Callithrix jacchus: one gene and its partners. The main gene of each other region encodes a partner of the protein of the gene in region 5 in a complex. Links are inferred from orthologs where the notes say so. Each region holds a gene or a part of one and is shown on either strand. Other genes may lie near its edges.

The links.
Region 1: MBTD1 (region 5) and BRD8 share a complex: the UniProt entries of both Homo sapiens proteins name them as parts of the nuA4 histone acetyltransferase complex. The link is inferred for Callithrix jacchus from reciprocal best matches to the Homo sapiens genes MBTD1 and BRD8.
Region 2: MBTD1 (region 5) and KAT5 share a complex: the UniProt entries of both Homo sapiens proteins name them as parts of the nuA4 histone acetyltransferase complex. The link is inferred for Callithrix jacchus from reciprocal best matches to the Homo sapiens genes MBTD1 and KAT5.
Region 3: MBTD1 (region 5) and MORF4L2 share a complex: the UniProt entries of both Homo sapiens proteins name them as parts of the nuA4 histone acetyltransferase complex. The link is inferred for Callithrix jacchus from reciprocal best matches to the Homo sapiens genes MBTD1 and MORF4L2.
Region 4: MBTD1 (region 5) and ING3 share a complex: the UniProt entries of both Homo sapiens proteins name them as parts of the nuA4 histone acetyltransferase complex. The link is inferred for Callithrix jacchus from reciprocal best matches to the Homo sapiens genes MBTD1 and ING3.
Region 6: MBTD1 (region 5) and MEAF6 share a complex: the UniProt entries of both Homo sapiens proteins name them as parts of the nuA4 histone acetyltransferase complex. The link is inferred for Callithrix jacchus from reciprocal best matches to the Homo sapiens genes MBTD1 and MEAF6.
Region 7: MBTD1 (region 5) and RUVBL2 share a complex: the UniProt entries of both Homo sapiens proteins name them as parts of the nuA4 histone acetyltransferase complex. The link is inferred for Callithrix jacchus from reciprocal best matches to the Homo sapiens genes MBTD1 and RUVBL2.

What each region holds. Positions count from the first base shown.
Region 1 is NC_133503.1:36,584,037-36,588,038, reverse strand, and holds the start of BRD8 (bromodomain-containing protein 8), read left to right. Parts: upstream 1-1,202; 5' UTR 1,203-1,217; coding exon 1,218-1,236; intron 1,237-2,220; coding exon 2,221-2,317; intron 2,318-4,002. UniProt on the Homo sapiens protein: May act as a coactivator during transcriptional activation by hormone-activated nuclear receptors (NR). Isoform 2 stimulates transcriptional activation by AR/DHTR, ESR1/NR3A1, RXRA/NR2B1 and THRB/ERBA2.
Region 2 is NC_133511.1:122,803,526-122,807,692, forward strand, and holds the start of KAT5 (histone acetyltransferase KAT5), read left to right. Parts: upstream 1-1,367; 5' UTR 1,368-1,386; coding exon 1,387-1,564; intron 1,565-1,891; coding exon 1,892-1,960; intron 1,961-2,049; coding exon 2,050-2,186; intron 2,187-2,450; coding exon 2,451-2,633; intron 2,634-2,722; coding exon 2,723-2,797; intron 2,798-2,906; coding exon 2,907-2,981; intron 2,982-3,937; coding exon 3,938-4,167. UniProt on the Homo sapiens protein: Catalytic subunit of the NuA4 histone acetyltransferase complex, a multiprotein complex involved in transcriptional activation of select genes principally by acetylation of nucleosomal histones H2A and H4.
Region 3 is NC_133524.1:99,740,774-99,744,846, reverse strand, and holds the start of MORF4L2 (mortality factor 4-like protein 2), read left to right. Parts: upstream 1-1,273; 5' UTR 1,274-1,329; intron 1,330-2,644; exon of another isoform or gene 2,645-2,713; intron 2,714-4,073. UniProt on the Homo sapiens protein: Component of the NuA4 histone acetyltransferase complex which is involved in transcriptional activation of select genes principally by acetylation of nucleosomal histone H4 and H2A.
Region 4 is NC_133512.1:126,163,523-126,167,813, reverse strand, and holds the start of ING3 (inhibitor of growth protein 3), read left to right. Parts: upstream 1-1,491; 5' UTR 1,492-1,609; coding exon 1,610-1,637; intron 1,638-1,877; coding exon 1,878-1,949; intron 1,950-4,025; coding exon 4,026-4,126; intron 4,127-4,291. UniProt on the Homo sapiens protein: Component of the NuA4 histone acetyltransferase (HAT) complex which is involved in transcriptional activation of select genes principally by acetylation of nucleosomal histones H4 and H2A.
Region 5 is NC_133506.1:115,118,095-115,122,334, forward strand, and holds the start of MBTD1 (MBT domain-containing protein 1), read left to right. Parts: upstream 1-1,440; 5' UTR 1,441-1,466; coding exon of another isoform or gene 1,467-1,808; 5' UTR 1,809-2,135; coding exon 2,136-2,273; intron 2,274-2,319; exon of another isoform or gene 2,320-2,536; coding exon of another isoform or gene 2,537-2,557; intron 2,558-2,789; exon of another isoform or gene 2,790-3,031; intron 3,032-3,191; exon of another isoform or gene 3,192-3,255; intron 3,256-4,240. Other genes in the region: UTP18 (U3 small nucleolar RNA-associated protein 18 homolog), read right to left, coding at 1,467-1,808. UniProt on the Homo sapiens protein: Chromatin reader component of the NuA4 histone acetyltransferase complex, a multiprotein complex involved in transcriptional activation of select genes principally by acetylation of nucleosomal histones H4 and H2A.
Region 6 is NC_133508.1:74,052,070-74,055,569, reverse strand, and holds part of MEAF6 (chromatin modification-related protein MEAF6), read left to right. Parts: intron 1-114; coding exon 115-307; intron 308-3,500.
Region 7 is NC_133523.1:42,837,434-42,840,933, forward strand, and holds part of RUVBL2 (ruvB-like 2), read left to right. Parts: intron 1-2,829; 5' UTR 2,830-2,944; coding exon 2,945-3,091; intron 3,092-3,500. UniProt on the Homo sapiens protein: Possesses single-stranded DNA-stimulated ATPase and ATP-dependent DNA helicase (5' to 3') activity; hexamerization is thought to be critical for ATP hydrolysis and adjacent subunits in the ring-like structure contribute to the ATPase activity.

The DNA of each region.
Region 1 (4,002 bases), on a different chromosome or scaffold from region 5:
GAAGGAAGTTCACTTAATGAACAATTGGGAGAAGTTTGAGGTGGCATTTCTTTTCTTTTCTTTTCTTTTTTTTTTTTTTTTTTGAGATGGAGTTTCGCTTTTGTTACCCAGGCTGGAGTGCAATGGCGCGATCTCGGCTCACTACAATCTCCGCCTCCTGGGTGGCAATTCTCCTGCCTCAGCCTTCCCAGTAGCTGGGACTACAGGCGTGTGCCACCACGCCCAGCTAATTTTTTTGTTTTTAGTAGAGACCGGGTTTCACTGTGTTGGCCAGGATGGTCTCGATCTCCTGACCTAGCGATCCGCCCGCCTCTGCCTCCCAAAGGGCTGGGATTCAGGCTTGAGCCACTGTGCCCGGCCTTGGGGTGGAATTTCTGAGCACTCCGCAGAAATCTGGCCCCAAAAGCAGAAGGCCAAGCCTCAAGTAGGGCGCCTCGCCCGCCGGTGCTGTGCTGGTGGTGTCAGGGTCCCTCGGCTTCTTCTCTAACCTCACCGCAGGGCTCACGGTGAGAACAAAGATGCAGCATTAAGAGAAAGAGATGGCTGCAGCTCCGCCCTCTTAAAGCCTATTCTGCGCGGGCAAGAGCTGGTAACCCGGACTCCAGCCCAGCCGCACACTTACCCGAAGACGTGCCACTGGGTCCTCCTCCGGTACCAGCTCACTCACACCTGGTCTCCGAAGCGGACTGTCGCAGCCGGAGAGCACAACTCCGCCCTCGAGGGGCAGCTTTGTCACCGATACAATATTTTAAATTACGCGCTGCGTTCGTTCGGCCAATCAGATAGCGAAGCCTGTAGCTACCAATCCGCGTAAGGAAAAGGGGCGGACCTAACTGGAATTCCAGTCGTTTGCTTCCGCTTGACCGCTCAAATCAAATGTAGATCCGGGTTACCAACTGTCGCGATTTCGGAGTTATTTGGCAGGGGCTTCTTCCAACTTAACACTTTTCCTTGAATCCTAGACATTTCTTATCCAAGCAGCATAAAGAAAATCTTGAGGTTTCGGCCTCCAACCCTTGTCCTTCCTTAGCAACACTTTTAACATAAGTGCACAAGATAACTGGTTTAGCGTGTTTGCTTTGTCTTGGGGCGGCGGCGGGGGAACGACATTTCCCAGGAGGCACCGCGAACCAACGCTAGTACTCTATTTCCCAGAATTCCCGGCTTTCGGAGCTACCAGACTGTCTCTCCTCGGGGTTGGAGATTTCGGGGCCAAGATGGCGACGGGAACGGGCAGTGAGTATCTGAGCAGGTTTTGCGTGAAAGGCCTTTGTGGATTCGAGGCTAGGCACCATATTTTTGTTACACCACTAAGGAGTAGGAGAAGTGGTTTGCTTGAGAGCCCAAGGTTTTCAGAGACCTGCGCTCCACAGTATCGTGAATACCAACGTGTGGGGCCCCAGAAATCTGGGGACTTGTTTCTCAGGGAGGGAGCGGAGGTTTGAGAGAAGCAGCTTACTGAATCCGAGTGTGTTAGGAGCTCTGCGGGGTAACCGTAAAAGCAATCTAGAAACTTGGGCGTGCAGACTGAAAGATGTTGTGAGCCAGTCGGGTCGGAGTAACCGGCGTCTCAAAGAGCCATTCATTTTCTGACCTCCGTTTGTGAGGCAGAAGTCGGGTCTTTTAACAATGAGCTTTTCCTGCTACTGAGAAAATTGCGTCTCGGGCATTTCAGACATTTTTCTTTTCGTGGACTGAAAGTCTCCTAGGCCTGACGTGGGGAGAAGAGGAGCTGAGAGAAGTAAACAAGTTTATGCTAAGAGGGAGGCGGGGTAGTAGGAGGTTCTGGCCGCTCGGCTTCCTGGGAAATAAAGCCCTCGCGGTTAAACTGGAGGAATAAAGTCCAGTATTCTTAAAACTGGGCTTTTAGGGAGAACTGCGTAATCTGACATTCCCTATTTTTTTAATAAAGCAGAGCTTCAAGCCATGGCGTTTTAAGAAATAAAATGTTATACTGTAATTCGCATGCAACGAATAGGTACCACCTTCACTGTTGGTATTTCACTTGGAGAGGTGAAAATCGAGATTTGGTGATAGCAGTTCACTTTGTCCTAACAAGTCGAAATGTTTTTTATTAGCCTTTTAGACCTCCTTTTAGGGATTTCGGAGCGTAGCACTGCAGTCTCAGCGGTTGTTTCCAAGGTTTTGTTTTTTTTTTTCTCTCTCTCTCCTCTCTCTCCCCTCTTTCTCTCTCTCTCTCTCTCTTTCTCTTTCTCCCAGAACACAAGCTGCTGAGTACTGGCCCCACAGAGCCGTGGTCCATCCGAGAGAAGCTGTGTTTAGCATCTTCTGTCATGAGAAGTGGAGATCAAAACTGGTAAGGTACCTAGGATGTCAGCTCTCCTGGGTCTTAGAAATTGTTGCATATGCTTTCATGTTGGTAGCTTTCTGTAGTTAATCATATTAAGCTGTAAGTAGACTTTCTTTTCTTTTTTGAGACTAAGTCTCTGTCGCCCAGGCTGGAGTCCAGTGGCATGATCTCGGCTCACTGCAACCTCTGCCTCCTAGGTTTGAGTGATTCTTGTGCTTCAGCCTTCCAAATAGCTGGGATTACAGCTATGCGCCACCAAAAGTAGCCTGGCTAATTTTTGTATTTTTGGTAGAGATTTTGTATTTTTAGTAGGGTTTTGTCCAGACTGGTCTTGAACTCCTGGCATCAATTAATCCACCAGTCCTGGCTTCCCAAAGTGTGAGGATTGCAAGTATGAGCCACCATATTCAGCCAATTCTCTGTCTCTATAGATTTGCCTATTCTGGGTATTTCGTACAAATAGAATCATATGTGCTCTTCTGGACTTTATCACTTAACATAACACTTTTGAGGTTCATTCTTATATAGCATGTTTCAACACTTAATTCCTTTTGTAGCTGAATAATAGTCTGTTATACGAATATACCAAATTTTGTTTGTTCATCACTTGATAGACACTTGGGTTGTTTCCACTTTTTGGCCGTTGTGAATAATGCTGCTATGAACATTCATGTATAAGGTTATGGACAATGTTTTTAATTCTCTGGAGTTTTTTGTTCAAGTAGTGAAATTGCTGGGTTACGTAGTAACTCTATTATGTTTGACTTTTTGTTGTTGTTGTTCAAGATTGTGTCACTGACGCCCAGGCTGAAGTGCATTGGTGTGATCTTGGGTCACTGCAGTCTCTGCCTCCTAGGCTCAAGCGATCCTCCAGCCGCAGCCTCCTGAGTAGCTGGGACTACAGGCACATACCACCATGCCTGGCTATTTAAATTTTTATGTTTTTGTAGAGACAAGGTCCTGCTATGTTGCCCAGGCTAGTCTCAAACTCCTGGCCTCAAGTGATCCTCCCAGCTCAGCCTCCTGAGTAGCTAGGACTACAGACCTGTGCCACCATGCTTGGCTAATTTTTTTTGTTTTTTGTCACTTTGTTGCCCAGGCTGGTCTCGAACTCCTGGCTCAAGGGATCTTCCTACCTTAGCCTTCCAAAGTGCTAGGATTACAACCGTGAGCCATCACTCTGAGCCTGGAACTATCATTTTACCTTGCCCTTTATCAGCCCCCACCCCCTTTCTTTTGCATCATCCATTATGAATTTAACTGTCTTGCCACATTTATAGACAATTCAGTACTTTGCTGATTGTTATGTTTTCTAGCATTTTTTTGTCTCTTTAATCTAATTTTTGAAGTAATACATGGCCACCATAAAAACAAAAACACTATATAGTAAGAGCAACAGCAACAGAGAAATGGGTTAAAAACTTGAGTTTATTTTTCTCACACATAAAGTAAGTCTAGGCAGTCCACAACTCTCATAGCAACTTTACAGGGACATTAAGAAGTCAGAAACTACTCTTTCTGTTCCACCTTCCTCAGCACAGTTTATCTTCTGATTATCTTATGGTTCATGGTGGTTCCTTGAGCTTCAGCTATCACATCCTTGTTCCATGCAACAAGAAGGAACAGGGTTGGTAAGAAAGGTCACATCCCTTTTAACAACTTTTTTTGTGATATAATTGATTTGCAGTAAA
Region 2 (4,167 bases), on a different chromosome or scaffold from region 5:
GAACATAGGCAAGGGCCACTGCTACACCTGGCTAACTGAACATTTGTCTTGCTCTGTGGCTGAGGCTTGTCTGTAATTCCTGGGGTCAAGCAATCCTCCCGCCTCTGCCCCAAAGTGTTGGGATCACAGGCGTGAGCCACTGCACCAGACCTGAAGTCTTCATTTTGTTCACTGATGTATTCCAGGCTCTAGAATAGTGTCTGACACATGTTTTGGGTCCCTAAATATTTTTTGAATGTATGATGAGTATCACACATACTATCTTTATAATTATAAACCTAATATACAAAACAACGGCCGGGGCCGGGGCCCTAGAACTTTGGGAGGCTGAGGTGGGTAGCCTGCTTGAGCTCAGAAGTTTGAGACCAGCCTGGGCAGCATCTTTTTCTTTTTTTTGAGAAAGGGTCTCACTCTGTCACCCAGACTGGAGTGCAATGGCAGGATCTTGGCTCACTGCAACCTCTGCCTCCTGGGTTCAAGACATTCTCTTGCCTCAGCCTCCTGAGTAGCTGGGATAACTGGAGGACACCACCATATCCAGCTAACTTTTACATTTTTAGTAGAGATGGGGTTTTACCATGTTGGCCAGGCTGGTCTTGAACTCCTGACCTCAAGTAATCCCAGAATTTTGGGAGGCTAAGGCGGGCAGATCACGAGGTCAAAGGATTGAGAGCATCTTGGCCAACATGGAGAAACCCCGTCTCTACTAAAAATACAAAAATTAGTTGGGCATGGTGGTCCGCGCCTTTTGTCCCAACTACAGGGGAGGCTGAGGCAGGAAAATCGCTTGAACCCAGGGGGCAGAGGTTGCAGTGAGCCGACATCGCGCCACTGCTGCAGAGCGAGACTCCGTCTCAAAAAAAAAAAAAGCGTAGTATACAAAATAAAGCTAGGAATATTCCCTGAATCCTCCTGCCTATGGAATGAAGTCCACAGACTTGGAAGAGCGTTGAAGCCCCTCTAAAGCCACTCCCTTCCTCCAGCCTCTCGGCCCGTAGCTCAGCACTAGCAGTTCACTCCCGGCGATACCTCCCGCCGCCACGAGGAGACGCCCCAGCACCGCCCTCTGTCAAAGCCCAAACAATATTGCCACGTGACCCGCTCCGCATCCACGTGACCAGCGTCGCACGCGGTGGGCGTCAGGTGACGGGCTCAGTAGTTCTCCAATCGCTGTGCACGTTGTGGGGTTTCCACTTAGGGCTCGGTCTGAGGCTTGTAACACCACATTCTCCCCCAAGCCACAGGGGCAGTCTTGCCGCTGGCAGCTGGGTGGCGGTGTCTCTCAAAGGTCCTCTATAGGGGCTTCGTGAGGCCCAAGCCTACAGCACTCAGTTCCGGAAGTGACGTCTCCCAGAGGGGCCGGAAGTGGCAGTGGAGGGAGGGAAGATGGCGGAGGTGGTGAGTCCGGTGCCTGGGGCGGGGCGGAGGGAGCCAGGGGAGGTGGGTAGAGCCCGAGGCCCCCCAGTAGCCGACCCTGGCGCCGCGCTGTCTCCCCAGGGGGAGATAATCGAGGGCTGCCGCCTACCCGTGCTGCGGCGGAACCAGGACAACGAAGATGAGTGGCGTGAGTGACGTCGGGGGGCGGGGCTAAGGAACCTGAGGGCGAGGGGCGGGAGGGAGTCCACTGAACCCCCGGGATGGGGAGGGGCCTCTGGAATTATGGGGCGGGCGGGGCTCAGACACTCCGATGAAGGGGCGTGGCTCTTAGCTGCTATGAGAGGTACAGGGCGGGGTCTGGAAAGGGGTGGCACTTGTGACTGAAGGAGGCTTGGATGAGACCTTCCAAGTGCTGCAGCTTAGGGATCCGGCCTGGGGGTGGAGTTCAGGTCGTGGAAGGGTGGAGTCTCATGGCCTGGCCCGTCTAAGGTCCCTGCCTATGCTGTTCCCATAGCACTGGCCGAGATCCTGAGTGTGAAGGACATCAGTGGCCGGAAGCTTTTCTACGTCCATTACATTGATTGTGAGTTCTGGGCCTAAGGTGGGGCAGCAGGGTAGGGGGTTGGGGGGCAGTCTTTGGCATTCCTTCCTGAGCCATCCCCACTGCTACAGTCAACAAACGTCTGGATGAATGGGTGACGCACGAGCGGCTGGACCTAAAGAAGATCCAGTTCCCCAAGAAAGAGGCCAAGACCCCCACCAAGAACGGACTTCCTGGGTCCCGTCCCGGCTCTCCAGAGAGAGAGGTGGTGAGTAGGTCCCCCACTTCACCTCATCTCTCCTGCCTCCTATTTCTCTTATCTGTTGGCATTTAGGGGCTCCTGGATGGGCAGGAGGCGGCATCCTCTTACCCTGACTTCAGCTTGCAAAAGATGGGGGCCAAATTGCACATGTAGCTCCCAGAGTCCAGTAGTTAGTCCTGTGTCCTTCAGAAGGCAGAGGGTGGGGTTTGATAATTTTAAGCTGAGGGGCCCCTCTTCCCCTTCCCCATCCCACTGCCATCCCCGCCCCAGAGGAAGACCCTGGACCTATCTCTACAGCCGGCCTCGGCCCAGGCCAGCGGGAAGACCTTGCCAATCCCGGTCCAGATCACACTCCGCTTCAACCTGCCCAAGGAGCGGGAGGCCATTCCCGGTGGCGAGCCTGACCAGCCGCTCTCCTCCAGCTCCTGCCTGCAGCCCAACCACCGCTCAACGGTACCCTCAGCAATTCCAGGGACCTTGCTTTCTTCTCAGGTCCCACCTTCTCTACCCTCTGACCCACCTTTGTTGGTTTCTCTCTGCAGAAACGGAAGGTGGAGGTGGTTTCACCAGCAACTCCAGTGCCCAGTGAGACAGCCCCAGCTTCGGTTTTTCCCCAGGTGAGTTCCCCAAACCATTTCTTGTTCCTTTCCTCTCTTCTGCCCTCTGGTGGCCCTTTTCAAGCTCATCTCACAGTCATCCCTTCTTTTCCTGGTATCTCATCTGCAGAATGGAGCAGCACGTAGGGCAGTGGCAGCCCAGCCAGGACGGAAGCGAAAATCAAATTGTCTGGGCACTGATGAGGTGGGTCTGGGGAGCAGCAGAAGGGAGCTGCGTGAAAAGGAAGGGATGCAGGCAGGGTGGAGAGTTATTTAGTGATGAGTATAAAAATGAAGGGGTGGTGGACCTGGGCAGGGCTAGTGTTGGTAGGATTAGGAGCCAGGCAGAACATGGTTCAAATGAATCATTGGGGCTGGGCACCATGGTGCACACCTGTAATCCCAGCACTTTGGGAGGCCAAGGTGGGTGGATCACCTGAGGTCAGGAGTTTGAGACCAGCCTGGCCAACATGGCAAAACCTCATCTCTACTAAAAATAAAAAAATTGGTTGGGCACAGTGGCTGACACCTGTAATCCCAGCTCTTTGAGAGGCCAAGGTGGGTGGGTCATGAGGTCAAGAGATTGAGACCACCCTGTCCAACATGGTAGTGAAACATGGTGAAACCCCATCTCTACTAAAAGTAAAAAATCAGCTGGGCCTGGTGGCGCACGCCTGTAATCCCAGCTACTTGGGAGGCCGAGGCAGGAGAAACGTTTGAACCCCGGAGGTGGAGGTTGCAGTGAGCTGAGATTACACCACTGGTACTCCAGCCTGGGAAAAAAGTGAGCCTTTGTCTCAAAAAAAAAAAAAAATTAGCCAGACATAGTGGCAGGCACCCGTAATCCCAGCTACTCCGGAGGCTGAGGCCAGAGAATCTCTTGAAGCCCGGAGGTGAAGGTTGCAGCAAGCCAAGATTGCACCACTGCACCTCATCCTGGGCGACAGAGTGAGACTCCATCTCCAAAATGATCATTGGGTGATGTTTTCCACATCATCAGTCCCTTAGGGTTTCAGGTTTTACGTCTGGAAATTGGGGGTCATGGTACCTTCCCTATAGGGTTGCTGTTAGGCTTGAAGGAAACCTGTTGAGGGGGTGTGAGCTGTGGTGTCCTGCTGAGCTGTCTCGTCTAACCTGGTGTCTTCTACTCGCCCTGGGCAGGACTCCCAGGACAGCTCAGATGGAATACCATCGGCACCACGCATGACTGGCAGCCTGGTGTCTGACCGGAGCCACGACGACATCGTCACCCGGATGAAGAACATTGAGTGTATCGAGCTGGGCCGGCACCGCCTCAAGCCGTGGTACTTCTCCCCGTACCCACAGGAGCTCACTACATTGCCTGTCCTCTACCTGTGCGAGTTCTGCCTCAAGTACGGCCGTAGCCTCAA
Region 3 (4,073 bases), on a different chromosome or scaffold from region 5:
GAGGCAGGTAAAGTTCAAATCCTGGTTCCCATACTTGTTGTGTGCACTAAGAAAATAATTTGACATCTCTATACATTAGTTTTTAATCTGTAAAATACGACTGATAATATGGAGGGTGTCTGAAAACATATATTGTATATCATTTATTATTTTGCTTTACATTCTGTAGCACCCTCTAGTGGTGTGTACAAAAATATGCATTGCATTTCTACTCTCCAAAGCAGTGGTTCTCAAACTTCAGTGTGTGCTGGAATCACTGGGATAGTTTGTTAATAACACAGATTATCAAACCCCACCCTGAGAACTTCTGATTCATTATGTTTGGGGTCGGACCTGATAATGTGAATTTCTGACAACTTTTCAGGTTATACTGATGTTTCTGGTACATCCAGAAAACATACCTTGGGAACCACTGCTCTAAAAAAATCCTCCCTGTGTGTGTATACAAGTATATATGATAGATAACTGAAAGGGATATGATTTTTGTTATTTGACTTTGATCTAGTAGTGCTCATCTAATAAGGACTTGGTGATGAATTTTTTAAAAATCGACGTGAAGGATATAACATAGCATCTAAAATACAGAAAGCATACAAAAAACTGAGGGTCACAAAACATAAATCATTTGCCCAGCGTACTGAGGTGATGGAATGTGGTCTACAATTAGGTCTCTTACTCCAAAGACACAATAAAGTTTACCAAAAACACTACAGAAAATAGGGTGTAAACACACATATCTGATACAAATTTCAAGAGAAAAGGAAAATCAGTTTTCAATACCAGGGTCCAAGTTTTACTGATGAGTTCTTACCTATCTTTACTGACTGAACAGCTATCTGTATTTTCAGTTTGGGTGAATTGTGAGCATTTGAAAAGGTGAGGAAAAAGGGTTAGCATATTCAACATCAGTGCTTGGGTCATTCATTAACTCTGATTAAACAAGGCAAGGACAAAAGAAGAGAGTGCTGGAGAGGGACCTTTTTTTTTTTCCAAGGAGAAAAGGAAAGAAAGAAGCAAAATTATTTGGACCTTGGATCATAGTCCCCTGCCTACTTGTGTTATTTACAGAAGTTGATTTTATTTTTCCCTAGGAATGAACGACAGCCATGATCCTCATAGATTGTAGTGTTCAGCAAATCAGAAGGGGAGTGGGGAGAACAAAACCCCATAATCCCAGGGACCAAACAGCCAATCCTTTGCTGGGATTTGGCGGCATCTAGTGGGAGACTCGAGAGGTATAACCCTAACCCACAGAACTTTCTGGAAAATTAACAGTGCGCATTTGCCTGAAGAAGGGCAGTGTGCGTGCTTGGAAATCAGGACGCAAAGGTAAGAGCGCCTCAATCCCCACAAAAATTCGGAGTCCCTAATGAAGGGGAATGCTGTCGTATAGACATTCCCATAGGAAAATTGTATTTGTGCCAAGAAAACTGCATGCAGCCTTGGAGGGAGGGGGGGAGGTTTGGAGGAGGGGAGGAAGGAGGATACTAGAGAACTTGAAAGAAGCCTCTCTTTGCAGTTGCTAATGTGGCGATGGAAGGGTTTGGCTCTTAAACCACTGGAGGGCTGTGGTTTACAGTGGGATTCTGGCAGAAAGGAAAACGTAGGGAGTGTATTTTTTTAAGTCTTTAATTAAATCAGTAGAGAAAGCCAAAATATTTCTGACAAAGCCCCTTTTATCTCTGTTATTGTCGCCTTGCCTTAATTATTTTCCTTTTCATTAGAACATTTTCAAACAATACAGAAATAGATAACAACCTGCGCGCCGTAGCTAACCCCTCCCCTCACCGCCCCCCAACACCAGCAGACACGCGCGCCCGCGCGCCCGAGTGCCGGTGCGCGCTGTGGCTCTCACCAGCCCGACGCCCGGGGCGCACGCCTGCGCACACACATTACCTCCCGCGCCACGAGGGCCGGTGCGCGCTCCCAGAGCAACCCCAGGGCCCCACGCGAGCCTTCCCGCGCACTGACACACTGGCCTTAATGCCTTGCGCCCGCGGCACTCGGGACCCTCACTCGCAAACACAGCAGAACCCCCATTGCGTCTTTTTTTTTCATGTTCGGAGAGTTGCGCCACAGGTCTGGGGGCGTGGCCCCAGATATGACCTCTCGCTTCCCCACTCGCGGGAACCTTAGCTCATTTCCGCCTATCCTATTTCCGCAGGCCACGTAGACACTTCCTCTCCCAGTGAAGGAGGGGGGAAACACAAACCCATAATGCCTCCCTGCAGAAAAAAAAAAGAAAAGAAAAATTAAAAAAAAAAAACCTTCTGGTCAGAGGAACTCTGGGTCGTGAAATAGGCCACGTGAACATTCTGCCCTATAGACTTATGACCCAACGGCTGTCACGCTTTTGGAGGGCGGGCTAAAAACCTAAGAGGGCGAACGTCATTGGCCGGAACTCGCACTAACGGAGGAAGGTGATTGGTTTGCTGTAGGCCTTAACAGTGAAGAAGCAGGTTGCTAGCACCCGCCTTTACTGCGGCTAAGTGTCATTGCTGACGTGGGGGTGGTTATCCAATCATTTGGTTATGGAACATTCTAAAACTTAGACAAGACGATTGTGATTGGCTGAAGAGCATACGCCCTCCTCCAGGGTGACGTGTCTGCCTATGGATATCAGTTGCCAGAGAAACCTGGCTTTACTATGGCGGTTGGAGGAACGGCAGTGATCACACGTCGGCTGCTGGGAAGATCTGGATTCTCGTTTCAGGTTTCGGGGTGGGGGTGGGGAGAAAGGGTCGATGATTTCCTCTTTTCGTCGGGTAGAGACGGGATTAGCTAGTGGCTTCACAATCGGTCAGAGCTGGATTCAAATTCCTGCTTGCCAACGCCCAGCTTGGGCAAGGCTCCTGTTCTTTCTGTGTCTCGGTTTCCATGTTTGTAAAATGGTGATAATAATAGTATCTACCTCAGCGACGTTTACTGTATAATAGTGCGTATAGAGCATGTAATATGAAGCCTGGCTCCTGAAGATATTATGTATTGTTATGGAGATAAATAATCTGCGTAATAGAATGAGAAAAATTATAAATTATGCAGATTCGCTAATTGTAGTGCCCTTTCTACCATCAACTTCTTTCGTAGAATAAAAGATAAAAGAGATATATCGATTTTTAACAATGAAATAATTTGCTATTTGAGAATTGCCTGAAAATAGCATAGATTGTAATTTTTCCATATTGAAAAGTTAAATAAAAGGTGTGGGGGGTGCGAGAAAGAAAGAGATGGAGAACGAGAGCGAGCTGGAGATGAACCACATGCGATGAGTAGGCCTTGTTTGGATCCTGAATCGAACATACCAACTGTAAAAATACGTTTAAGACGCATCGGGAAAATTGGAACACGGATTCGATATTTGATGTTTTTTAAGGAATTGATGTCAGTTTTTTTAGGCGTCACAGTAGTATTGTGGTTATGTTTTCAAATTGTCCTTTTTTTGTAGAGACATATGCAAAAATATTTACGGATTAAATAATGTAATGTCTGAGGTTGACTTCTAAATACATTAATGACTAGGTTTTGCTTCAAAATAATCTCAGCGGTGGGGGGAAATGGGGAGGGGTATAGATGAAAAAAAATTAGCCCTAAATTAATAATAATTTAAGCTGATTGATACGCAGTGAGTTCCTTATATTTATCTGCTTTCCTTGGTATACGTTTAAATTTTTCTGGAATAAAATACAAAAGCCAGATATTCCGGTGAGCTTGAAAAAGTCGGGGGTGCGGGGGAGCAGTGGGTGGGGTTATAGATGAAACAAGATGGCCTTCAGTTGGTAATTGTTGAAAGCTGGATGATGGATTCATGTAGGTTTATAATACTATTTCTTTTATCCATTTGAAATTATCTTTAAGGAAAAGTTTTTTTTAAATTTGTCAGAAATTATATAAATGTACAATAAATTAAATTTGAAAATGTAGCCACAAGAAAGGAAAAAGAAACACTTGTACATTATTTATCAGCTTTGGTGTCCTTTGTGTGTGATGAAATTGCATTGGCTGATGAAGAAGAAAGCCATATCTCATATCTTTTTATTTTATGTCCTTTCCTGTCCTTTTGTTTGACCTTCTAG
Region 4 (4,291 bases), on a different chromosome or scaffold from region 5:
TTTTTTTTTGAGACCGAGTTTCACTCTTGTTACCCAGGCTGGAGTGCAATGGCGCAATCTCAGCTCACCGCAACCTCCACCTCCTGGGTTCAGACAATTCTCCTGCCTCAGGCTCCTGAGTAGCTGGGATTACAGACATGCGCCACCATGCCCAGCTAATTTTTTGTATTTTTAGTAGAGACGGGGTTTCACCATGTTGACCAGGATGGTCTCGATCTCTGGACCTCGTGATCCACCCGCCTCGGCCTCCCAAAGTGCTGGGATTACAGGCTTGAGCCACCACACCTGGCCTAAAAAATCCTAATTCTTATTAGGATTGTAGTAAGGTTCCGTTGAGATTCATCATTGTTCTTCATTCGTAACAGGAAAATATCCTGCTTAAGAGCAGTAAAAACTTTTAGTATAAGAGTATTGTGATGAAGAAGGAAAGCAAGAAACACACACACACACACACAGCTTCAACTGCAATCTGAAAAACAGAAAATGAACAATAAATTATGAACTAATGACAATTGCTCCAGAAAACTGAAGAGTTAAGAGTGAAAAATAACAATACCTAATATTTATTAGGTGCAAGAGTTAATAAGTTAAAAAAAAAAAAAAAAAAAGCAAGGACGTACTAAATACATCATAGGAAAACATTTTCTGGGAGAGGTCGAAAAGTAGAAAAGAACGCCCAAGACAGCAAACCTCTACTATGGACTATCTACTAAACATAAAATTACTGCTATTTCAGCCTATTAGAAATCAAGGCTCCATCCGTTATTCACCATTGCTAACTATGATGATGATGATGATGATATCAGATTGTATATACTGATCAACTACATTAGAATGACAACTAGATGGACCGCAAACTAGAATATATAAGTGGTTATTGTCACTATCTGTGCGTCTTTTAATCTGGGAAATGCATATTCACTCCATAGTCTCATTATAAACTATTTTAAAATTACATGTAAGCCAACCAGATGTCTCTTTTATATTTCAGGAGTGAATAATGAGGATAAATTCCAGCAGAGAGTTCTATTTTAAGCAATCCAAATGCCCCGAACTTTGCTGATTCTTCTAGCGTTAGAACCTTTGCTATTTCCCTGGCACGTCTTGAAACTTATGACTCACAAATGCCGGGACATGAAATCACAGCAGAGAACAGGTGAAAAGTTGTTCCTAGTTGTATTATGCAGGCGCATACAATTCCCGCCATTCTCTGTGCAAAAATCAACAAATAAACAGAGGCACCGCATTTCGGATTCTGTTACGCACTGTTCGCAATGGCGCCTGGTGTTCGTAGTTTCTATGAGGGAAGCCGCCAGCGTGCCAACCCTTGCTCAGGAGGAAGAAAACTACATTTCCCACAAAGGAACACGGGCGAACACTGGCCGGCTTACGTCATTGCTTCAACCAACCAATAGCAGCTCCGGGCGGCAGTGAGGCAAGCGCCGTCAGGCGCCAAAGTGGTTTTTTTCTTTTTTTTTTTTTTTTTTTGCCGGAGTCGAGCGGGTGCTGCTAGCGGAGGCGCCATATTGGAAGGGACAAAACTCCGGCGACAGCGAGTGACACAAATAAACCCCTGGACCCCCTCGTTCCCTCAGCTCTAAGGGCCGCGATGTTGTACCTAGAAGACTATCTGGAAAGTGAGTGCGCGGCGCTGGCGGGGGCCGCCGGTGGGACCTGTGGGCGGGCGAGAGCGCGAGTGGACGGGCAGCGAGATGGCGGAGAGGGAGGGGGCGGCGGGGGATGTTTCTTTCTCACGGTAACTGGCAGCCTCGTTGTAGGCTGCCGGCCCCCTCGACCCCCCCGACGCACACGCGCAGTGACGTAAGCGCGTATTTCGCCGTTTGCCCCACCCCTCTGACGGACTCTCTTTTTGACAGTGATTGAACAGCTTCCAATGGATCTGCGGGACCGCTTCACGGAGATGCGCGAGATGGACCTGCAGGTGCAGAGTAAGCTGGCGCGTCTACTACTCTTCTTCGCTGCGCGCGTTCAGTGCCAGACTTGCTTGTCATTATTGCTAACACCTAATGCTCTTTCACTGTCCTCTGGCTCACTCCGCTAGTGCATAAGGAGTTGTCAGAAAGAACTAGCAGTCCTGAATCTCGCCTTCTCCTTCCCTCCTGTGCTACTTTTTTTCTGGCTTTTGCAAGAGGAGGAGGCATTGGGACCCGTGTATTCCTTTCTAGAATGTGGGATTGTGCAAAAAATATTTTTCTACCGTCATTGAGATAGTTACCTATGTTTCAATGGACGTCGGCATAAATGTTGAGATGTTGTCTTGATCCTTTTGTATCGAATTAAGATTTCAGCATTTATACTTATAAAGTTAATTCTATTCACAGTTTTTCAAGAGTAGAAAGCATAGAAGCGCAGGTTATATATAGCTCTTTAGAGACCCTGGCGAATGTCAAATTTTGAAAAGTTAGTTACACATTATAAGATACATTTTGAATTGTAACAGAATCATCATTTTCTTAGTTAAAATGAGTGACAGAAATAAGATTTCACTGTAAAGTTTCTTACGTAATGTACTAAAAAATGTGGCAGTTAATGAACGTTTCTTTTTCTTTCAGTGATAGCTTGGCAGTCCTGTGACTTTTTCCACAAATTAACCTTGCTCTTTCGTAGAGCAGGGGCAGTGAAAAGGACAGGTTCTTAGCTCAGGGACCACTTGCCTTAGCTAAGAACCTGTCCTTTTCACTGCCCCTGACTTCTCTGCGTATGACTACACCACTACTTATATACTGTTTGTTTATGAGTACATTTTTCTTGTAAGTTTCAGGAGGCACATAATAGAAAGTGGTAGCGTGGAAGCCACCTTCTGTTCAGTGGATTGTGGTATGAAGTATGAATTGTGTGTGTGGTTCTCCGGCTGTCTCACAAAATCCATTTTAAATTTAGTGTAGTTGAAATGCTAAAGATTTGCTGAAGTAGTGTTCTCTGCAGGATTGAGCTATCAGATAGATCTGAGTTTGTTTTAGGGCTTTACTAATTTACTCATTGACTTCGTATTACCACTTGTGAGGGACTTCCATTGTAAAAAGAGAATCAAATAAGGATTTAAAATATTATAGTTGGATTAGAATTTATAGCATCTGATACAAAGTAGGCATTAATGGACAATTTATTTTAAATTTAAATTATTTTATATTTTATTGTTTGAAATTTTAAATTATTTTGTAATTTGGGCTTATGTCATACATATTACAGGCTTTTTAAAAGTGCTTTTCTTTACAGTAACTAGAATTTTCTAAAGTTATATAGGAATTATGGATTAACAGAACAATGTGCTAAATAAATTCAGACATGCTTATTTAAACAAAGGAAGATGCCTCTAAAAAATTAACCATAGGACTTCATAGAGTCTTTAAAGGGCTAGTATGGACTGAAAAATCTCCAAAAGAAGTATATTATAAAACTATTTTTCTCAACTTAAGTGACAACAGAATGCTTTCTCCTCCACCCTTTTTTTTTTTTTTTAGCAGACATCCAATGAGATGATTAGTCTTGGCACATAATTTGGGGAAAACTTATCTAGAAATAATGTTTAAATGATTGTACCTATTGCTTTCAGTTGGCATATGACATGATGAGATATTTAATGCTATATACCAAATCTGTTTATCACTTTTCCTTGTTAAAAGAAATGTGAGGATTATCTAATGGTGTTTTAATTGTGTTTTGGTGCATTTGGCTGTTTAATACCTTTAGCTTTTGACCCCAATGCTGTATTGCTCAAAAATTATAGGATAGATCCAGTCTACTTTGTCGACTCTACTTAGGCTATTGGAAAAAGTTGTGAAATAAGAAAAACAAAAATAATCCATCAATAAGGAAAATTGTAACTCTTTAAAGGAAGGTAATTAAGGCATTACATATTTACATAATCAAAGAATAACATGTTTAAGTTACTGGCAGAGTGAAAGAAGGTGTATTGTTAGATTTTTTTTCCTCCCTAAATCAAACCATGTATATTTGATATATGAATTTGGTCATCTAAATATGATTTTTTTATTATGTCATAGATGCAATGGATCAACTAGAACAAAGAGTCAGTGAATTCTTTATGAATGCAAAGAAAAATAAACCTGAGTGGAGAGAAGAACAAATGGCTTCCATCAAAAAAGTATGTGCAACACTTTGGATAATTTAGGGAGTTGGGGAGAGATAGCATGGGAAGAAAACCAGATATAGGTGATGGGGAGGAAGGCAGCAAATCACACTGCCATGTGTGTACCTATGCAACAATCTTGCATGTTCTTCACATGTACCCCAAAACCTAAAATGCAAT
Region 5 (4,240 bases):
CTGTGGTCCCAGCTACTTGGGAGGCTGAGGTAGGAGGATCAATTGAGCCTAGGAGGATGAAGCTGCCTTCTGAGCTTACTTTAAAGCGTTGTGCAGATATAATTATCTGTGACGAACAGGAAGAGCAACCAGTTACTATTAGCATAAGAGAGCTGGAAGACTAATTGGGGCTGCTGCACTCCAGTCTGGGTGACAGGGTGAGACTATATCATTAAATAACTAGTAAATACGTTTATAACATCAAATCTAAATTATAAAATTATGAATTTATACCATAAAGTTATACTATCAAATCTAAACCTAGACCACAGAACATCCCTTGAAGTGAGCTTGAGCTTCCCAAAACCACGATAGAAATGTCCAAGTGATTTCTACTTGCTCTACTACCAGTCTACGTGCCTTCAAACCCAACAGCGCCCACCTCAGTACACTGGTCCTTTTCCAGACGACAAAGCTGTCACAGTTCAGCATTTTTCCAGTGGTAGTTCTCTACTTCCCAAATAGATGGCTGCCACTTCTCCCACAAGCACCCAAAGGAGGCTCTGATAAGCAGCTGACATTAGCTAGGTCAGCATTCGTGTAATAAACATGGACTGGGTAATTCTCAGTGAGCTTTCCTCGGCCCCCGCCATCTAAAATTTAACAGGCCTCCTCTACACAAGCTCATCCTGCTTTCCCGAATGTCCTTTTTTCTCTTCAGCACTTGTCACCAACAAACCTGAAGTTTACTCATTTATTTCATCTATCTTGTCTCTGCCACTAGCATACAAGCTCCAAAAGGGCAGGGTTTTTGGCAGTTTCGTCCATTGCTGTGTCTCCTCCAGTGCCTCGAACAATGTCTGGGATTCTATCTCTCAAGAAAAGCCAGATATAGAACTAAAGGAATGGCAAAATGTGTGCAAAAAGTAAGATCAATCACGCAGCGTTTGCCATTGCCAGATTGGGTATCTGGCAACAAACAGGTTCACCAATATTTTGCTAAATGGACGAATACACGATCAGTCTCAAAAGACGGTGTGTCTCATTGTCACATGGGGAAGATAGTTAAAACCCAGATAGATGCCCAGGCCCGTGCCAACTAACTGATTCCATTAGCCAAATGGAATTTCTGAATCACAAGGAATTGAGGCAGGTGATCAAACGACCAGGCTCAGTTTGGGGAGAGACTAGAGGAGCGGAGCAGCAGCGAAAGATGCTCAAGACCACAGTTCGCAAAGCGGATACCCGAAGAGCGGCGCCTCCGGGGGCGGAGAAAGGCGCGGTCCCCGCCCTCCAGAGACTTTCAGTCCAGCGCTGGGAGGCGAGGGACCCGCAGCTGCGACCCTCGGCACCCGCGTTCTCGGGCTCCCTCCCACCTGAGCGCTCCCCGCCGGCGCAGGTCGCCCAGGCTCCGCCCCCCGGAGCTTCACCGCCCACCGCGCGCCCCGCCCCAGCGCGCCCAGACCGCGCGCCGCGGCCTCCCTCACCCGCCGGCCTCGCAGACGCCGCAGCAGCTCGTCCTCGTCGTCCTCGACTTCGCCGAAGACCAGCTCCTCCAGGCACCGCTCCACGGCCGGTTTGTCCTCCTCCAGCGTCAGACGGTTCCGCTGCCGAAGCCGTCTCTCCTCCTCGGCCGCCGCGACTGCGATTGCAGCGGCGGCCGCGCTCGGCCGAGCCGGCGGTTTCCGCTGGGATGAACGGGCAGCCTTTTGGGGCGGCCCGCCCGGTCCGGCTCTCGCTTTCCAATCTGGCCTCGTTCCGGGCTTCCGCTTCGGCTTTGCTCCTGTTCTCCGATCCAGTTTCATTCGTTTCCTCCGTTCCGGCGGCATCCTTGGGTTTGAGGAGAAACGCAGGCGCTCACGTGGAACCTCGCTGCGCATGCGCCCAGGCGACTCTCTGTCCGCCGCCGCCGGAGCCCCGGGGGCTGGAAGGAGCCTGCGCAGCCCCTTGCCACGTGACCAACACTCCCTCCCTCTACGTAACTCCCGCTCCCCTAGCCGGCCCCGCCCCGTGTGGGAGTTCCTCCGGGAGGTCCAATCTTCCGGGTGTAGAGGGAAGCGGCGTGACTGGAGTGGAAAATTTTTCCAACACAACTTCGCAGCTGCAACATATTGAAAGGAGCTCAAGAAAGCCCAATTATACACTGGGACGACTGAATGAAACTTCTACTTTTCCTCCTGACTTTAATCACTGGACTTGACACAAGCCTCGATAAGCTTTCCACCCTTCGTCTTGGTACGGTCCGTGGAGTACGGAGCCTGCCGAGGGTCCCACGCTGGAAGCGAGAGAGGAGGGTATGTAGGGAAGTGGGCCAATCGGGGCGCGGGTCACGGCGCAGGCGCGCTGGGGAGGGAGGGCTATGCTAATGTTGTTGATATCCTGGGGCCACCCGAGTTAAAGGGGGGAAATCCGGGGGCTGCCGCAGCCGCCACCGGTCTGGACCCAGCCGGGGGCCCCCTGTATCGCCGCAGTCCCGGGGAGAGGCACCTGCCCCCAGCCCTGGGAGGGGGCGCCGCGGGCTCGGGGAGCACGGACAACCCCTACCCATGAGGCCCTGATGGAAAACACAAAGGATCTGGTGAGAGCCGAGCGCGGCAGCCGCTTTGTGTGCCAGGTCGGGGGGACGCCTGCAGCTCCCCGACCCCAGGAACCCCGCAGCTCCCTGACCCCGCTCCCTGGCCTGCTTCTCCATCCCACGCCCCCTCAACCTCTGGAGTCCCCCTCCCCCTTCCAGCCGTTAAACGATTCAGGGGTTCCCCTCCCCCCACCCCCTCAGCCCCGGACTCGTTGGGGTTCTCTCCATTTCCTCCACCCTCTGGAAGAAAATTTTGAGAAGAAAGTTTTTCTCTGTGTCCCGCCCCCGTCCCCGTCCCCTGCTCTGGCTAGGGGAGAAAGGCTGGATCTGAGACTTTTCCTTTTTTAGCCACCCTGGGTGGGAGAGTGTAGTAGTCCTCACTTCTTTGGAAGGAGGGCGAGCATAGTTTTGGTGCTTTGCAGGGGAAGGTGTCTATCCGCCTTGGGGCCAGTGCCGCGAGGCAATTTGCACGTGGAGGTGGAAATATTGAAAGGGGGCGGGGTGGGCACGTGCGGGAGAGGTGGGAGTGGTGTTTGGGAATCAGCCTCCAAGGCTGCGTATTTAAAAGGGTTCCCAGTCAGTGGGCTTCTATGATTATTGCGTTCTCCTTTGTGAAATAAGAATCCTAACATTTCAGAGTCGGAAGAGACATTAGAGGTCATCCAAAGCAGCCGTTCCCTCTGCAGCCTCTCTGACAAGTGGTAGGTAGCCTGGCCCCTGCTTAAACCCCTAAAAGCACTGAGCGCTCACTACTGCCCGGGAAAGCCCATTTTTCAGTAGTTCTAATTGTTGTTTGCCTACCCTTGTTAGACCCTTCAGTCTCATTCATGTCCTGGTTAAGTTGCTCCTTTTTTTACTTCTCAAATTTTCTCTCACATCCTCCTCACCCACCCACTGCTCATTGGCCTATATTTTGTGTGCCAGGAAAGAACAGCAGGGAAGTGGAGGAAGAGGGGGGCTGAGAGATAGTGAGGGCCAGCCGAAAACTTTGCAGGGTCAGTGTCAAATGTGCTGGCTTACATGCCTAAAGATGATATTTTTCTACAGGAAGCTAGAGAATTAGAATATGGGAATTTCGTGTCTGTTTTCTCTCACTAGTGCATCTTTTTGAAGTTAGAAATTTCAACATTATCTCCGTAGTTCTTGTATCACAAAGCACATTTGCTTGTTTCCTAAATCACTTCTAAGGATGTCTAAAATTGCCTGTTAAGGATAGTACTGAAGCATCACCTGGTAGAGGGGATGATTAGAAGAACTACCGCCTCCACTCATTTGACCTGTGTTCCTTGGAAGCTGGTCTTTCCTCCAAGGGCCCCTCTTCCAAATGCTTTTACTCTTCGTTTTTTTTCAACTCTCTCTATTATGAGATTTGAAATTTATGGACCATTTTAATACTTGTTTAGAGTTTACAGTATTTCAATTCTCCTTTCCTTATACTCACATGCACCAGTATTTATCAGTGGGTGGTTGAGACAGTTCCGTTGAAACTATTGTCACTGGACGTTTTTCTAACATACTTCTTCATTTGATGAGCCATGCTGCCTCCAAAAGTAGTTGTGTTGGCTTAAGAATCTTGGATGTACTTGTTTCTCTCTAATATAGTCAAGTGGGGGTCAAGACATAATAGATACGGTGTAGAAATAATGCCTCTGATCTAAAAGCCAGCAAATAAATTACACCTTAAGC
Region 6 (3,500 bases), on a different chromosome or scaffold from region 5:
GATAAAGAGTGGTTTTTTTCTACCTACTAGTGTTCAAAAAATACTTCAGGTTGATGGACAGATTGCCTGAGGAGTACTGATGATGTGTTTGGAAACTTGTTTTATTTCCTCCAGGGGAGCCAGGAAGTGGGACAGAAAGTGACACTTCTCCAGACTTCCACAATCAGGAAAACGAACCTAGCCAGGAGGACCCTGAGGATCTGGATGGATCTGTGCAGGGAGTGAAACCTCAGAAGCCTGCTTCCTCTACTTCCTCAGGGAGTCACCACAGCAGCCATAAAAAGCGAAAGAATAAAAACCGGCACAGGTCAGTGGCAGGGATCCCACCCCCTGCAGCTTCCATGACCATTACTGTGAAGGGAATTGCCTAGAATAACAACGCTTTAGGATTGTTGCAGAGCCTTTCTGTTACTGATGGCAAGAAAGTCCTTTGGTCCAAGTGAATAGTCTAATTTGCTCAGAGAGAGGAATTGGTGGACATTAGAATAACCCTCAAGGAAGACTCCAGGATATCCTCACTGTTTCTAGTGCAGAATAGTTTTATTCCATAAAACCTTGTTTCATATGGTGAACATGGGATACTTTTAGAAGAGAAAAAGGAGAAATAGAAATGGGATCCGTGTAATAGTATTTGAAAAATGCCACTAGTACATAATGGGAAGCTGTAAAGTGGGATGAAGTCTTCTGCTGTTAATCCTGATTTTTGCCTACTTTTATTTTGTTGTGGATGGAGAGAATTGATTTCAACTGCCTTTTTTTCTCTTTAAATACAAGTTTTTTTATTGCTTGTGATTTTTCTGTTTCTGTATTTCTCAGCAACATGCTGACTTCAGATAATGGAAGAACAGTATAAAGCCTGTAAAATATGAGAGTGTCTTCGTAGGTAACATGTAACATCGGTGCACCGTGTTTTTTTTTTGCAGTACACATAATGTGATAGGAATGATGCCAATGGACAGAGAGGCCAGGTGTCACCCAGAGGGGGTTTCAGCATTCACTGTGCCTGGGGTTTGTATGATAATATGGGGGCTTGTTAACTCAGATAATTGGAAATTATGCAGCTTGACCCAAAGAGGATAATGTACAGTTTCTAAACTAAGGAATTTTGCTGGCCTCAAACCTGGGATACATGGAGACCCTATACATACCTGTTTTCATGCTTCCTAGAAGTTTTGAAGCAAGGGCAAGATTCCTCATTCTAGAAACTGTATTCTTTCCTCCTCTCCTGGAAGACTGCATGCAGAGCAGGTAAAAGGGGGCATGCAAGGAATGGGTGGCATTCCTGTCCTCCAGTGTGCTTCTGGATTTGCTTTACAAATCTGTAGCATATTCCTTCATGCACCCAATGCATTAAACTTGGCAGTACCTGGGGATAACGTAGAATTAACTCTGCCTGAACCTCCTTGGTTGGCATCAGCTGGATCTTCAATTCTTTTTTTTTTTCTTTTTTTATGCTCCTTTCTTTAAAGATCAAATTTTTCAGGATCTTCAATTCTTTTAAGAGTTTTTCTTGTTGATGGTAATAGTGTTTTTTAGACTGCAGAAATAGTATTCCTTCAAATAGTGAGTAAGGACTGCTGCTTAACATTTTTCTGCAAACCAGAAGTCTCCATCCTGATCACATAACTATACTAAAAAATAGCAAAAATTGCATATTCCTCTTTATATATTTTTGAAAGGCTGTAGGTTATTTGACCAACTGTAGTAAGACTGGTGCTAGCTTATCACGAATAGAAAAGAAACATACTCTTAAAATTTTATTTAATTGTCAAGATAATTAAATGTCATACTCTGCATTGTTCTGTTAAATTTATTCCAGTGTCAGTCAGTCAGTTGTTTGTTTGTTTGTTTATTTATTTATTTATTTCGAGACAAAGTCTCTTTCTGTCACCCAGGCCGGAGTGTGGTGGCACGATCTCAGCCCCCTGCAACCTCTGCCTCCTGGATTCAGATGATTCTTCTGCCTCAGCCTCCCGAGTAGCTGGGATTACAGGGATGCACCACTGTGCCTGGCTAAGTTTTGTGTTTTTAGTAGAGACAGGTTTCATGAACTCCTGATCTCAGGTGATCTGCCTGCCTCGGCCTCCCAAAGTGCTGGAATTATAGGTGTGAACCAGTGTACCTGGCCTAGTGTCATTTTAAAGTAATGATTATTTTCTTATTTCATAGTGTCTAGAGGAGGGAGGAAACTCTTTCAGAATTTCTGGGGCTTTTTCCATTATTGATTAATAGACTCTCTAGATAGCTGTTTATTTCAGGTCATTTTCATTAATGACATCATTACCTGTTGACTGATAAAAAGGAGTTAAAGAAGTGCTAAACTTCACTTTCTTCTTGCAAGTTTCTAGCATACTTAGTAGGAACAATACTACTTCCTATCCTTTCCTTGCAGTAGGAGCTATCTCCTTCCAGAAGAATAGTGGTGTTGTAAAGATCTTTGATATTAGTTACTGCTTCACAAATAGTGTTTTCTGTTTGGAAAGCAGAATCTTGCTTTTTATTGCTGTCCTTTTGTCTTCCCTCTGATTTAATATCTGGCTGATCTCCCTTGGCCTTAGGCACTCATCTGCCCCAAGAAAGGAGAGTGAAGCTGATTTTCTTCCTTTCTAGGGAAGCCAGATTCAGTGTGCCTGAATGGTACATGAGTGGCCATTTAAGGTTCTTAGACTCATGCCATCTTTAGTCAGGAACTGTGTCTGGTCCAAGCCCCTTACTATTGACCAGACCTCAGTGGGTCTGGCAGATTGGGGTAGGGGCAGAAAATGGTGTCTATGTACATTGCTAAGTTTGTACCCAGTACAGTACGTGTTTCTCTTCCAGTGTGCCATACCGCATATATGCACTTGAGCAAAAGGAAATAACTTTTGAATTTGCCCTCTTCAGGAATATGAATTTTTTTTTTTTTTGGGAACAAGATCTTGCTTTATTGCCCAGGCTGGAGTGCAGTGGTGAGATCATTAGGCTTACTGCAGCTTCAACCTCCCGGGCTCAAACAATTCTCCCACCTCAACCTCCCAAGTAGCTAGGAATATGAGCATGTGCCTGGCTAGTTTTTGTATTGTTTTTGAAGAGACAAGGTTTCACCATGTTACACAGGCCGGTCTTGAACTCCTGGGCTTGAGTGATCTTCCTGCCTTGGCCTCCCAAAGTGCTGGGATTACAGGCATGAACCACCACACCCCACTAGAATATAAAAATTTATCAAATAATTTTTAGCATCCATAAATGATGATATTGTTCTGAATTCTTATATTTTACGTGATACCTGAACAATAAGTCATTCCTGGTATCTTTACAGAAAAAGTTGAAATAATAGCATATAGTGGCCAGGTTTCTGTGGCTCATACCTGTAATTTCAGCACTTTGGGAGGCTGAGGTGGAAAGATCACCTCAGCCTAGGAGTTTGAAACCAACCTGGGCAACATGGTGAGACCCCCCCACTCTCTACAAAAAATACAGAAATTAGCTGGGCATGGTGATGTGCCTGTGGTCCCAGCTAC
Region 7 (3,500 bases), on a different chromosome or scaffold from region 5:
TGATCCTCCTGCCTCAGCCTCCCAGTAGCTGGGATTACAGGTGTGTGCCACCACTCCCAGCTGATTTATTTTTTATTTTTATTTATTTATGTTTTGTGAGACAGAGTCTTGCTCTTGCCCAGGCTGAAGTGTAGTGGTGTGATCTCAGCTCACTACAACCTCAGCCTCCCAGGTTTAAGCAATTCTCCTGCCTCAGCCTCCCAAGTAGCTGGGATTACAGGTGCCTGCCACCATACCCAGGTAATTTTTTTGTGTTTTTAGTATAGATGGGGTTTCACCATATTGGCCAGGCTGGTATTGAACTGCTGACCTCGTGATTTGCTTGCCTTTGTAGGGCTAAGGGCCCCACAGGGTCGTGAGGTGTCCCTTAATGCTGTGCTGAGGCACAGGATCCAAGAAAGAGACAGGACACGGAAGTGCAAAGAAAGCACAGCTGGGCTGGGAGTGGTGGCACACCACCTGTAAGCAGAGACAGGTGAGGCCTGAATGTCCAGAAGCGTCTGTATTTATTGAGTATAGGTTAGGGGGCAGGGTAGTGAGTGAAGTCATCTTTAAGGATAGTGATAGGGTCGTGAGCAATAAACAAGGGGTCCACCCCTATTAGGTCATTGAGGCAAGGAGGCAGGCCTTGTGCAGTAAGGGGTCCACCCCCGTTAGGTCACCGAGTCATGGAGGTGGGCCGTGCGCAGCGAAGAGGGTGCAGTGTGCAATATCTCTTATCTATGAGAGTGTCTGTATGAGGATGCTTTAAGTAACACAGCAGTGACAAAGCTGTCAGGGTCTACCGCCACCTGCTGGCAGCTTCCAGTGAGTTCTATAGGAGGATGCTTTTGAGCCAGCACCATAGCAAGAGCTGATAAGTTCACAGTCACCAAGGTGGATTGCCCGTCTGAGGGCAGCCTTCCACAAGAACTGGAGCAAGGTCCTACAACTCCTTTATCAGGAGGAGTGGCTCTCGCCCCAAGCCTGCCATACAGCAGGTATCTTTACGATACTGAACGCTGCTGCCTGGGCCATGGATTCTTGTCCTGGCATAACTGTTTGTCCCTTAAATCATGCTCTGAACTGTGTCTGCTCCAGACATTCCTCTGATTATAAGCTGCTTATTCCTTAATTAATGCTCTGTACTGTGTCCACTCTAGGCATTCCTCTATGAACTAAGGTATAATCATATACATATAGGGAAATAACTGAGTGGTAAGATATTCTTTAGGCACGCATTCTATGAACTAATGTATGATTATATATAAAGGATTGTGCGAAAGGGAATAACTGAGCAGTAACACTGTAGACTGAGATATTCTTCAGGCACTAATTGTGCCAGGATTCTGCTTAGCTCCCCTCCCTCGGCGCCTATGTAGAGGGTTACCCACAGCCTTGACCTCCCGGAGTGCTGGGATTACAGGCATGAGCCACTGCGCCTGGCCAATTTTTGTGTTTTTTGTATTTTTAGTAGAGATGGGATTCACTATGTTGGCCAGGCTGGTCTCGAACCCCTGACTTCAAGTGATCTGCCCGCCTCAGCATCCCAAAGTGCTGGTATTACAGGCAGGAGCCACTATGCCCAGCCTCTTGTTTTTTTCTTAATAGCTTTATTGAGATACAATGCACATACTATATAATTCACCCATTTAAAATGTACAGCTCAGCATTTTGTAGTATATTCACAGAGTTGTGCAGCCATTGTCACAATTTTAGATCATTGCCTTCACCCCAAAAAGAAACCCCATACCTCCTACCTGTCACCTCTAATCCTCCCATACCCTCCTGTCTTCAGTTCTAGGCAGCCCTGGTCTTTCTCTGTATATGGATTTGCCTGTTGTGGCTACTTCGTGTAGATGGACTCATACAGTATGTGTCTTTCACGTGTGGGCTTCTTTCCTGTAGCTGTTATTTGTGTCCAATGGTACCGAGTGTTAAACACATTGAATAAGGAGTCTTCCAAGCAGGCTTTGTGTGGGTGTGGGCGACAAGGCCATCTTATTTCTCACTTGGGTGCAAGCAGGCCGAATCCGAGAAAGGACAAGGGTGGGAATTGATTTGATAGGTTGGGGCAATTTTTTGCGGGGGGTGGGGATGTTGCAGAGTAAGATCAGTTAAGTGGCGGGGGGTAGGGGCAAGGCGTATACATTACGATAAGTTCAGTTACAATGGCAGGTGGTAAGGCAGAAGAGTAGTTAAGATGGCAGGGTGGGGTGAGAGGCTTGTCCTGGGGAAGCTCCGCTGGGTGATTGGGGCTGGTGGGGGACGACAGTCAGCCGAGGCAGGACTTCAGACTTTCTGGGTCCAGGCTTGCACATGGAGACCTGACGTTCCTGTCCTTTTATATAGACAGAGAAAGAGAGAAGAGGGGGTGATGACAGGTTTCGGGGGGTGAGGGCTAAGTGTCTCAAGGCTACTTTGTGCGTGATGGGACCGCACGGACACCTAAAAATTTTTTTTTTAGTGGAGGAGACAGAGTAGAAGTGGGAACAGGACAGGGACGAAAATAGGAAAGGTCTGGACACGACGTTTGGCCTCACACATGCTTCAGCTGCTGGGGAACTTTGAGGCCCCGCGCGGTATTGTGGGGTTGTCCAGAGCAGCAGGTGCCGATTTGTGATCGCCTGGATGCGGTTTCGGATGAATTGGGAGGGTAAGCGGAAGACACAGGGTCCGAACAGATGGGTGTTAAAGAAGTAGGGATCGGAGGGAGCCGGGACCTCCAGTTAGAGAATGGCCAGGCAGGTTCGGCGGAGGTGTTTGCCTGGTCAGCAAACTTCTGAGTTTTTTGATATGATCATACACTAGGCCAGATTGCTTTAAGTAAAAACAACATTCTTCGTTTAGAAACATAGAGTCCTCCTTTTTCTGCGGTAAGTCGAGGCCACGATGGTTTTGGAGATCAGCTGCAGCCAGAGTCAATTTGAGCCTGAAGGGCAGACAACGTATTAGCTAATTGGTAATGTGGGCAGAGAAATCAGCAGACAGACTGCGGAATGCTGTGACGGAGGAGGTGAGCCCTGCCGTGCCAGTTCCAAGGCCTACCGAGGAGGCTGCAAGCCCTGTTCCCACGAGGAATGGAGTTAGCTGCATAGCTCTTTCTCGTCGGGTAGGTGTCATGAGGGGGACAGGCAGGTGTTCGTTACCAGTGGCAAATTGGATCTTAGGAATAAGGAAGACTAAGGGACAGGTGCCTGTCCAGTTAGTGGCAAACACATACAGTTAGAGGAGCCACCTGGGAAGAAAAGGCCTGGAGCGACGCAGAATTGAAAACACAGGGTGAGGCCGGGCGCGGTGGCTCACGCCTGTAATCCCAGCACTTTGGGAGGCCAAGGTGGGTGGATCATGAGGTCAAGAGATCGAGACCATCCTGGTCAACATGGTGAAACCCCCTCTCTACTAAAAATACAAAAAATTAGCTGGGCACAATGGCGCATGCCTGTAATTCCAGCTACTCAGGAGGCTGAGGCAGGAGAATTGCCTGAACCCAGAAGGTGGAGATTGTGGTGAGCCGAGAT